3 linked regions of the Bombyx mori genome follow. The protein of the gene in region 3 purifies or fractionates together with the protein of the main gene of each other region. This does not show direct contact. Links are inferred from orthologs where the notes say so. Each region holds a gene or a part of one and is shown on either strand. Other genes may lie near its edges. The genes, in order: nucleoporin Nup43, tRNA N6-adenosine threonylcarbamoyltransferase and EKC/KEOPS complex subunit TP53RK.

The links.
Region 1: the proteins of EKC/KEOPS complex subunit TP53RK (region 3) and nucleoporin Nup43 purify together in Homo sapiens (affinity purification with mass spectrometry; 3 studies listed by BioGRID and IntAct, counting the BioPlex papers as one, with this or other methods). This does not show direct contact. The link is inferred for Bombyx mori from reciprocal best matches to the Homo sapiens genes TP53RK and NUP43.
Region 2: the proteins of EKC/KEOPS complex subunit TP53RK (region 3) and tRNA N6-adenosine threonylcarbamoyltransferase purify together in Homo sapiens (affinity purification with mass spectrometry; 5 studies listed by BioGRID and IntAct, counting the BioPlex papers as one, with this or other methods). This does not show direct contact. The link is inferred for Bombyx mori from reciprocal best matches to the Homo sapiens genes TP53RK and OSGEP.

What each region holds. Positions count from the first base shown.
Region 1 is NC_085111.1:1,602,333-1,606,488, reverse strand, and holds the start of nucleoporin Nup43, read right to left. Parts: upstream 2,948-4,156; 5' UTR 2,833-2,947; coding exon 2,760-2,832; intron 2,533-2,759; coding exon 2,085-2,532; intron 1,448-2,084; coding exon 1,276-1,447; intron 187-1,275; coding exon 1-186. Other genes in the region: queuosine 5'-phosphate N-glycosylase/hydrolase, read left to right, coding at 3,267-3,374, 3,695-3,907, 4,116-4,156. UniProt on the Homo sapiens protein: Component of the Nup107-160 subcomplex of the nuclear pore complex (NPC). The Nup107-160 subcomplex is required for the assembly of a functional NPC.
Region 2 is NC_085117.1:15,245,467-15,249,829, reverse strand, and holds tRNA N6-adenosine threonylcarbamoyltransferase, read right to left. Parts: upstream 2,833-4,363; 5' UTR 2,661-2,832; coding exon 2,546-2,660; intron 2,168-2,545; coding exon 1,946-2,167; intron 1,757-1,945; coding exon 1,606-1,756; intron 1,535-1,605; coding exon 1,428-1,534; intron 733-1,427; coding exon 566-732; intron 482-565; coding exon 239-481; 3' UTR 224-238; downstream 1-223. Other genes in the region: proline-, glutamic acid- and leucine-rich protein 1, read right to left, coding at 3,824-4,363. UniProt on the Homo sapiens protein: Component of the EKC/KEOPS complex that is required for the formation of a threonylcarbamoyl group on adenosine at position 37 (t(6)A37) in tRNAs that read codons beginning with adenine.
Region 3 is NC_085126.1:11,106,270-11,109,588, reverse strand, and holds EKC/KEOPS complex subunit TP53RK, read left to right. Parts: upstream 1-1,352; 5' UTR 1,353-1,624; intron 1,625-1,681; exon of another isoform or gene 1,682-1,907; intron 1,908-1,995; 5' UTR 1,996-2,009; coding exon 2,010-2,711; 3' UTR 2,712-2,738; downstream 2,739-3,319.

The sequences.
Region 1 (4,156 bases), on a different chromosome or scaffold from region 3:
TAAGTCCCAAATAGCAACAGATCCTGATTCGCTGCCCGCTAGTACTATATGAGGTTGTGTTGGATGATTAATGATGCATGTCGCAGCTAACTCATCTCCAGCTAGTAAGAATGATGCAGCGGGTTTGTCTACTTCAGATCGAAGGTCCCAAATTTTGATGTGGCCTCGAATGTTACCTGTTATAACCTGTAAAAATACTTTTTTTTATTGTTTCTTATAAATATATACCTTGTGGTAAAGCCAGCTCTTGTTTATAGTTTCTTATAATAATAATGAACATTTTATTTTCTTTGATAAAAATGATTTTTTTGTACTCGCTGTTCTATTGACTATTTGTAAGTAATATTTATTTGTTGATCTGTTGTATAGGCAATGAAAACATTTATCAATGAACTTTATCTTTTCTTTACTTTTATTTAGTTTATAAGAATCAGAACAATATTTTTTTTTTTACTCACAGCTCACAGCCCACCTGATGTTAAGTGGTTACTGGAGCCCATAGACATCTACAACGTAAATGCGCCACCCATCTTGAGATAAAGTTATAAGGTCTCAAGTATAGTTACAACGGCTGCCCCACCCTTCAAACCAAAACGCATTACTGCTTCACGGCAGAAATAGGCAGGGTGGTGGTACCTACCCGTGCGGACTCACAAGAGGTCCTACCACCAGTAATTACGCAAATTATAATTTTGCGGGTTTGATTTTTATTACACGATGTTATTCCTTCACCGTGGAAGTCAATCGTGAACAATTGTTGAGTATGTATTTCATTAGAAAAATTGGTACCCGCCTGAGATTCGAACATCGGTGCATCGCCTCAACACTTATGCACCAGACGTCTTATCCATTAGGCCACGACGACTACAAATAACATACGACTACAAATAAATATGTAATAACATTTTATATGTAGATTTCAATTTTGTATGGGAATCAGGAATAAGATAAAAAGAATTTCTGAGTAGTCCATTCAGAGTTGATAAAAATATAAGCATGAAAAATTAAAAAAAAAATAACATTTTTTCTGTAATGAAAACTAATTTTATGATTTACTGTCTCGCATTTTTATTGTAAATTAAATTATTTTTATTAACCATACAAGTAATTTTTATACTTGTCTTTGAATCGCTATGTCTGTCTATGATGTGTGATGTCTATGACTGTGTGTATGTCTATGAACCGAAGAAAACATCATTTGATTTGGTCATTCTATATTTAAGAAAACTAAAACTTACTCTCTGTTAATCAAAAAGTTAGAGATTAAGGATTTACCTCTGTGTGTTTTAAATAACAAATGGAATGCAATGAACAGCTATCAGCCCCTTTGATTGTACGGTTGACTTCACCCCTTCGGCCACTCAATATGTTCACATTGCCATCCTCACCAATACTAGCTATGTCTCCTTCATATGTATCCAAAGATGTTGCAGAGCATTTTGTATTACTGAAATAAAGCATTTGTTACGAGTTAAGAATTAGTTATGTGTGCTATTTTCAAATAATTCAAACACTTATCAGTCATTTCCTTTTTTTTTAAAAGAACTGAATGTGTAGCAGTTTTCTAGAAAACGACATGATTGGCAGCTTCATAGGTAGGAATATTACAAAAAGTACACAATTATACATTTTTTTCTTTGGTGGTTACAATATCAGGTAATAAAACTTTGATGTTTCATTGTAACATTGGTGTAGATATTTTGTGGTATTTATTAAAATTCTTATATTAAAAAGGCATAAAATTCATCTTCAAAATTAGAAAAAAATGAACAGAAATTGTTATTGTTGATAAAATATTAGATATAAATTGTTGAAAACATTTTATAGTATGTTTACTCAAATAAAGTAATTTACATCTTAAGTTACTTGATGATAGAATTGGTAATTAATGATTTGCTGACTGGTAGAATGCATTGAGAGTGATATGGATAGCTGGCTCGATGTTTGGTGTGTGTGCCTATTGTTACCATGCTGTGCCAAAGCAGTTACAACATAACACCTGACTTCAGTATGCTCTGGTTTTCGTGAATTGTAGTTTTAACTGCTTTAACCTTTTAGTAGTTTAAAAAAAACTAGAACCTCACCCGTAGTTATGTAAAGACTTCCAAGAAAATATTTCTTTAAGTGGTGTTTGTTTATCATAAGCACTAATTTCAAGTATTTTTACATCACCATTAGATATTGAAACGGCTATTTTGTTTTTTTCCGTGAATTTTATTTGTGTAACATCATCATCTACTGGATACTTGGTAAGGGCACGAGGATATTCTACCTCTTCGTCTTCGTTAACACTTTCAAAAGTCCAAACTGTTATTAAGTTGACCTCATCATCCCAACTACCGGTGAGAAAACATTTTGTTTCAGCATAATCTTCAGGAATCCATCTGACTTTATTTATTTTTTGAGAAACAAACGTTCCTTGAATATCTATTGACATTTTTGTATACAAATGGGTCATAAAATGAACAAGAACACAACAGAAGATAAATAAACACACTTCCCTGTTTCTGGACTTTCTGATGCTTTTCTGTGCTGTAAAAATTTTTTTAAAAGGATTTTATGACCAGGTAACTAAGACCTTTAAGTCATGTTTTATTTTAATTTTAAGTATTATTTTCATGAAAAATGATAATATGGAGTGAAATGAAATGAAATGAAGATTATTAAACTGAGACATTAATCAACTGGGATGAAATTAAATTAAATGATATGAGATGATATGGGATGACATAAATCTCAGTAAAATGGTGGTCATTTACTGAGACTTTTAAGTGGACTTTTTTGAGGATCCCGAAAAGTTACGTCCAGCGGCTTTGTTTTATTTTCCCACATTTGTGCACTTTCACAGATATTAAACAGTTAATAAACCACCATTATTACACATTTAAACCTGAAGAAACACTAAATAGACAAAATAAAACAAATCATACAACTTCACTCCTCGCGTATATATTTATGTGTATACCCATAGACATTTAAACCTACCGTTCTATCATTCATTAGCGTTAACTTTTTTAATGCTTTTTTATTATTTCTCGAATATATTAAGTGTATAATCTATGATTTAAGTTATTTAGCCAATCAGAGTGCACTTGGATATCTTTATCTTTTAAAATCACAGATGTTGAAGATAACAAATTTTTGTGTTCCTGCTTTATTTAATGTGAATATCATAGCTGTAACTGTAAATCACTCTAGTACAATTAAATTCAAATTGAAATTTTCTATCCACCTTCACTTTTTATTCAGACTATCATTTTATAACCATGGATGACGAAGTTGTTTTGCTGCCAGCAAAAGCCGGTGAATTTATTGCTAGATATGCCAAGCATGTACAGATACATGAAGAAGGATTAGATAAAGCATGTAAAGAGGTAAACTTTATTTAATTTATATTGTAGTTCCAGTTTAATCTATTAAGGCTAATAGTATTAGAAAAGAAAAACAATAAACATGTTAATCTTTATTGCATACTGGTTTGAAGGGTGTAACAACCTTAGACTTTATGTTTCAAGGTATGTGACAACTTTTGCATTGTGACATCATAAGATGCAGTAACTAACATTTAACATCATGTGGGCTGTGAGTTCATCCTCAGACAAAGGGTAAAGGTAAAAAAAAATAGTCTTAGAACTTCAACTAATAAACATTAATTTACAGTTACTCACAATCAAATTATATTCATTGTTTATAGATACTCACGTCAATTTCTACAAGTAAACTGGAAATCCCTGATGCAGGAACAGGTATACATCCTAATGTTGAACACCCAAGGGCTGTGGACTGGGTGTTTGTTGCGGACACGTTAAACTTCTGTTTCTGGTCATACAGTGGAGTTCTGAAATGGACTGTTGGTGGACATTCTGGGTATTATGCTTTGGAGGCTGCCCTTGATAGAGCAATTAAGGTATTTATTATAATAATGTAAATTGAGTGCTCAGATATCATTATTGCACTGTTAGACCTTGTCAAAAGCACATTTAATTGACAATAATAACAACAGTATTCTTTATTATGTATAAAACAAGCATTATTTTTAAAGAATACTGAATTTAAGCTAAGGACAAAGAGCAGTTATAAAATGAAAGCTGATATGTATATTCACTCTGTTTCAGGAAGGTTATGATATAACAAACCCAGAATACTATTCGAAGAT
Region 2 (4,363 bases), on a different chromosome or scaffold from region 3:
GTGGAAACCGGGCTTTAATTGTGTAATTATTTTGTAATAGTGTCATAGTTCTAGCGAAAATAGTTTGAACCCTGGGAAAGAGGATGGAAATCCAACCAAGCGATACAAAGTGACCACCGCTGCGAGCGAAAGGACTTACGTCCTTATAAATTCTTAAAAAGTCTTAAAAATCTTTTTAAGCTTCAAAAACGGTTCTTAAAGGTAAAAGAAAATTAACACTACATTATAGTATAAATATTTAATCATCTCGCCACGTAACAAGAACATCATCTGTCCTATATCTTTGTGTAATTGTTGCATCTTTGAAATCCATGCGAGTGCCAGAAGCATGAGCAAGGGCACCAGCATATGCTATCATCACTCCATTATCTATGCAAAATCTCTCATCGGTAGCAAATATCTTAGCCTCTCGTTCATGACACATTACTCCCATCATCTCTTGAAGTCGCTCATTGCACCCAACTCCACCTACTATTAATACCTGAGAAAGAAAAAAACAATGTCGATATATTTAAAAAATCGATAATGTTCAAAGAAAAGTTTTCAATATATAAAAAAATTAAACCTCATCAGAACCGCAGTGAGCCATAGCTCGTTCAGTGATCTCCACTAGCATTGCAAAAACAGTTTCTTGCAAAGAATAACATAAGTCTTCCGGAGTATATTCTTTCAATAATTCGTCAATTTTATCCTCCATGTACGATAGGATACCAGAAAAACTTACGTCCATTCCTAAAAGAAAGTTCAGTTTACTCAAAAACATGTAGTTTACAAAAGTAAATATATAAATACTGATTTAAAGATTCCAAATTCAGCAGCAGATAACTGATTGCAAGGATCACTTTTTTATACAAACTATTTTAATTTTAACACAAATCACATCAAAAACACGACTATCCATATTTGTCATGATTTACATAGATTCATACAGCATGTGATGATGAAGATGTTCAATGCTCTGTTTGCAAATGCAGTAGAATGACACTGCTAAGAGCACTATACAACAAAAATCATACCTGCAAAAACTATAATATGCATAATACAGGTGGTAGTCTCTTGTAATCCTGCACAAATAGGTACCTATCTATTTATGACACAAAGCAATTCCTGTTTGAACAGTGGGGCAGTTGCTGTATAATAAATAGAACAAAGACTTAGAATTTATATTTCAAGATGTTTATGATGATAATATAATATATTTCAAGCTTTAGATTGTTGATGTCTGTGAGCTCTAGTAAACACTTAACACCAGATAGGTCATAACCCCTTTCACCTGAGTAAGCAATAAAAAATCATCCTTCCTATTTCACACAGTAGATCATACCTTAAATCTATTGATAGCAAACAAGCTCCGCTGACGCTCAACCCACGCCCGATCTGCACAGATTCTCGAGTAGTAAATTAAGTAAAAAAAATAATTAACAAACCTTTAACACAATATGGTAAGGGCAAATACTTTTTTCCTTTTTTAGCAGCTTGTTCTATGTTATAACCTGGACTTGGAGCATTAGACAATTTCAAAACTCTAGCAAACCTGAAAAAAGCCTAGTTTAAGTCACATAATTAAAGCAATTAAAAAAATGTTCATAGTGGCTATCATCCCACCTATCTAAGCAGTTGCCAACAGCTATATCAATAGTTTCACCAAATATCCTGTATCTTTTTCTTGAATATGCTATAATTTGTGTATTCCCTCCACTCACATATAGCACTGTTGGATTATTTGCTTTGGTTATCAACCTTCCCATTTCTATATCTGACGTGATTGTTGTAAGAAAAAATAATTGATGATTTTATTTATAGACAGACAAATTTTGTGTTTATTTCAATTAATAGTTTTAGAACTTAAGATTTAAAAAAAATCTGATTTCAAACATAACAATAGCAATATTTTTCATTTTAGTAATTAGCATTGTTAGTTGAATGATTTTTTCAAAAAGGATACGTCCAATACAATGATTTACACCGTAAATAGGTTTTTTCCATAGTTTAGCACATGTTCTGGCAACAATTGCACACACCATCAATGGCGCCCCCATACCAGGTCCTTTGGTATAACAGACAACGTCAATTTCATCTGGATTGAGACCAGACTGGTCCAAAGCTTCTTGCAATACTTCATGAATGTTTTGTTGATGATGCTCCGCAGTTTCTCTAGGAAGAAACCCTGGAAATCCAATTATACTTATACTTTACTTTTGACGGGAAAAAATTGCAAAAAAGGCTGACTTGCTTTCAGCCCATCTGATCTTAAATGGTCCGTGTCACTCTTGGATGTTAACAACTGAAGTTGTATGGAACAAAATACTGTTACGTACTCCTAGTACTAATCTAGCGCTCAACTCAAACAGAGTATAGGAAGTTTTTTCCAAAATCAGGATAGGTCACAAAAAAATTGGTGTATATTTGCTACAAAAAACACAAGCTTCCGTATAAAATACTGTGTAAGATAAACATTATAAAGATAATTTATAATTGTAAATTTACTGAGCTATGATTTAAGCTATAATTTTATTGTTTTATTTAAAAATAATGATAATTTCACCTTCACCGGGTGGGGTTATGTACGTTCTTCTGCAATTGGCCAAGATTTCTCCATCTTTAACTATACCAATTCCCAGTTTGTTTGCACTTCCCTCAAATCCTATTGCTACTACCATTTTTATTCGATTCAATTCTATAATTTATAAGCGTAAACAACGGAGCATTATTTCCTTAACACAAATAGTGTAAAACATAGATTATACACTTAATATGTGTAAAACATAGATTATACATGGTGTAAAAATTAAAATGTAAATATAGATAATAAACTGTACTATTATCTATGATAAATTGATGAGATAACAATTGTAGACTTTTTGGCGGGAGCGCGAGGAGTGAAGTTGTGTGATTTGTTATATTTTGTCTATTTAGTGTTTCTTCAGGTTTAAATGTGTAATAGGGGTGGTTTATTAACTGTTTAATATCTGTGAAAGTGCACAAATGTGGGAAAATGAAACAAAGCCACTGAACTTCTCGGGATCTACCAAAAAGTCCACTGAAAAAGTCTCAGTAAATGACCACCATTTTACTGAGATTATATTTCATCCCAGTTGATTAATGTCTTAAATTAATCATCTTTTTTTCGTTTCGTTTCACTCCTTAATATCATTTTTCATAAAAATAAGAATATAAATTAAAATAGGACATGACTTAAAGGTCTCAGTTACCAGGTCATACACTCTTTATCCCATTTTTAAATTCAATAACACGCTTCCATCGTTGATCTATTTAAAGTCCCACCAAGTTAGCCTAAGCTTATATAGACTAAACATTTAACAGGCCTATGAACTTTTGAGGCTAGAACACAAGACATTTGTGAAATGATGGAATTGGTTAATTTAGTGTTTCAGATTTACAGGTCTATTAAGTGAGACGTATTAAAAAAGTTTCACTTGTAAAAGTTCACGAATCTAAGAAAATGAAAGAAATTCTCTGATCGTGGATTCTGAAAATCCCATCAACGAACTGCGACATTATTTCATTGCATATCAACTTTATTACTCGTTCCATTTCACTCGTATTTAAATCCTAGTATCAATTTCCCTAATGGAATACCTACGTATGTAAAAAGTATTCACGAATTTCTTTCATGATGAAGAAATAACATACTTGCCAAATGAATAATGGTCGTACTGGGTAAAATTACGTATGAATATTTGTATTATTATTTTCCACATTTATTGGTATAGCACAATCATATACATCAAAATCAAGTATAAAAATATTTTAAATTAAGTGCAAAATAAACCAAAGCTTATTTTTATTATGTTGGAAATTTTCATGACTCGGTTTTATTGTCTTCATTCACCTCATCGACGAAATCAGCAAGCATATCTTCGACAGTAATTTCCTTCGTATTTAATATAGCTACATCTTCAGAAACATTGGATGGATCATGAATAACACCATTTTCGATAATCTTTTCATGTGATTTATCAATACCATTTTCTATAGGAATATCATTATCAATATCTTCACTACTCTTGACGTCTTTAATTATATCTTGATCAGCTTTATCATTTTCATCTTGTGAGATAGTAACCTGTTGTCCACAAGTAATTTGTATGTCATCTAAGTCAGCAGAGCTTTGCATATTATCTTCATCCGTTTTGTCTAAGATAGTTATAGTTTCTTTTACAGTGTTAGAATAATCATATCCAACTTCCATAGACAATGGCTCTTCTTGATCATCCACATTTCCTGTTGTTTTGTTCAGCGGCATTTGTGTTTTGGCTTCAAATATAGTTTCAACTTCATTAGAGGCTTGTGTAACAGTTTTATTATTTTTACAAAAATCGGTTATCTCAACATCAGTAGT
Region 3 (3,319 bases):
TGGTAGGTGCATTGAAACATAAATTATATTCTCAAACACGTATGTACATATTCTAATAAATACATTAAACAATTATTTAAATACTTACACAAAAAAAACATACTAGATAATCAAGACTTACGCTAAGAAAAAAACACTTACATATTTTTTATTTTTCAACGGTTCGGTATCAAGGACGTAGCGTGACGTCATTAATTAATTAATAAAATCGTTCTCATAAAATCTGTCTGCAATTTCCCGTTGCCCGCTAAAACGGGAGGGCCATGGTATGACGGTTGTGGGCGCGTCTTCATCCTACACGCATACATATCAATGCTAAAATGCGCCCAGACATTTCTATAGGACATTTCATCCCCCTACCACAGCCCTACATTTGTAGTTATGTACTTACATTGCACTAACACGAAGAGGCTATATCCACATTTATTGCCGTGTTGAGATCACTTTTCTCTTTGTAAATAATGTAATATACCTTTTTTTAATAAAAAGTTTAGTACCGAATCACTCAGCATCGGTTAATTTATGTGCAATAAAAATCTAAGTATTTATTCATAAATATTTTTCGAATTAGAAATATCCTAAAAAAGGATTTTTCGGGGAAAATTGTATTCCTTTCAATATTTCATTATTGCCTACTTGAGGTTAATCTAGTACCTACCAAATTAAGGGAAAAAAAACGAAAAAGAAGATCCTAGGTACTTATTTTTTTGTAATGTTAAAAAATAATCTAAATCGATTATAAATATTGTGTATGTAAATCAGGACGTTTACATTTTTGGCAGGCTCGCCACCGAATTAATTTTTTGTGGTTACTCACTTTTCTAGGTCCATTCTGCACAATAGTTTCGTATTCCAAACCCTCCGACATTGCTCTCACGAATTACTAAGATCACAGCAGAGTACAGTCTTTCAGTTCGGTATGTCGCATCAAACGGACACTTGTGTTCGATAACTAATATTTAACAGCCACCGGAATGGTTGAACGTCGAACCGGCACGAAAATAATCGTATAAATCACCGTTCCTTCAGTTAAATTATTATTATCATAAAATATACGAAGTTAACGCGTGGTGCCGCCGATCGGCACTGCGTACAATTCACGATTCACGCCCACAGCCTCCAACTCTCTATCTAGCTGCATTATGCACAGTAATATGTACATATCACATAAGTACATATACAGCAGGACGATAAGTAGGTAGGTATATATAGAATGTTTCGTTCCAATACCAAAGTCATGAAAGGTGCCGTCTACTTAAGACGAATTCGACATTCGCTACGAACTGCATTTCATTTTACGTAAATTAGCTTGACTACATATTTTTTGTTTATTTTCGTACAATTCCACGACTTATGTTATGTTCCTTATCGTTTATAAATAAGAGCCGATGGCCATTTTGGTTGGGGTAACCATTTCCATGTTTTTCCTTGCTCGGTACCTACACACTTTATGAGTATGGTGGCTTAGTTTAGATTCACACACACCCGCAAAGTTTTCACTATAAAAATATCAGGGTTAACTATAAAAAAAAATTACGGAAAATTGTATTCTACACACTTCTGCACAAGATGTTAAATTTATATTTATAATATTTTCTTTGCTTCAATGAGAAAACCTCATCAGGTTAGTTTTTTCTTCAATGTGGACGCAAAGTTACAAATAACAAACAAGCAAGGGCTGTCTCTAGTTACTATTTTCTTGTAGACTGTTTTAAATATTTTGTTTAAGGTAGCCCGTGCTAAGTTTGATAAATTCTTCATAATGTCAATTGTCAAGTAACGATGACAAATATCTTGTCATATGGTTCATCAACAAACTTCAACAAAGTAATACCTTCTCTGTTTATTTACAGTAGCTTCATTACATACCTCAGAGTTTTAATAATTAATTATAATTGTTCATTGAGGTAAGTAATGATAGCGAAAAGTGTATTCTGGAAGGTTAATCATAAGGAAACGCATAATAAATTCAATTTGATTCTGAACAATTTATAGGTTATATTTACAAAATGACTGAAGATTTGAAGATATTAAAACAAGGAGCTGAAGCAAAATTGTACATTTGCAATTATCTTGGAAGACCTACATTGATCAAGGAAAGGTTCGTTAAAAATTACAGACATCTTGATTTAGATACAAATATAACAAAAGAGAGAATTAAAAATGAAGCACGTTCCATTGTACGCTGTAAAACAGCCGGAATTCGTACACCGGCTTTATATTTAGTTGATTTTGAGCGTCGTCGAATTTACATGGAACATTTCGAACGGAACGTAACTGTCAAAGATTTTATCATAAATTTGACGAAAACTGGCAGTGAAAATGAAACAAACAGCCTGAACATACTAGCCAAAATGATTGGCGAAACTGTTCGAACATTACACGACACCAACATTATACACGGAGACTTGACAACTTCTAATATATTGTTGATACCGAAAAATGACAATGATAATTGGATTCAATGCTGTGAATTTCATTTGGTCATGATTGATTTTGGTTTATCATATGTTGACTCTAGTGCCGAAGACAAAGGCGTTGACCTATATGTCCTAGAAAGGGCATTAATAAGTACCCACAATGACTATCCAGAGTTATTCAATAAAATGTATGATGCATACAAAAGTTCTAGTAAGAGCAATATAAAAGAAATCATCAGTAAATATGAAGAAGTCAGAGCTAGAGGGAGAAAGAGAACTATGGTTGGTTGAGTTGTTATTAAAACATTTTACCACTTATTATTTTTGTTTTGTACTTAATATGTCATATTTAAAAGTAAACTGGCTAAAAATTCCGAGTGGAATGGGTTATAGTGTCATCAGCATATATGCTGATAACAAAAATTGGGATTTTTTTAAATGTAAAATGAAGAAGTAATTTAAACCAGGGAATATGATCGCCTTGTTTGTCTAGTAGTTACTGCTGACAATAGTCAATAGTATAATAATACTGCAGGGCTGGTTTCAATTTCCAGTTGGAACTAGTATTTCAATAAACAAATATTTGTAGTCTGGGTTTGACTGTTCTTGTTTTATTTCTGTTTTCAATCAAATTATAACTGTGCTGTTGAACATGGTATATCTATTATATTATAATGTAAAATGGGAATGTGTATGTATGTGCTATAAATACAGAACACTAAACAAGTTAGTGGGCAAAAGATCTTATTCAGACACATGTCGTGACACCCTGAACTTCCCTGGCTTCTACTACTTTCAATTTGTATGAAGCTGCAATAGCTTCCTCTTTCCCTTGCTATCATAAATTCTTCTACTCCTAATTCCTATCACGCATGAATTAGGAACTTCGTGCTACCGAC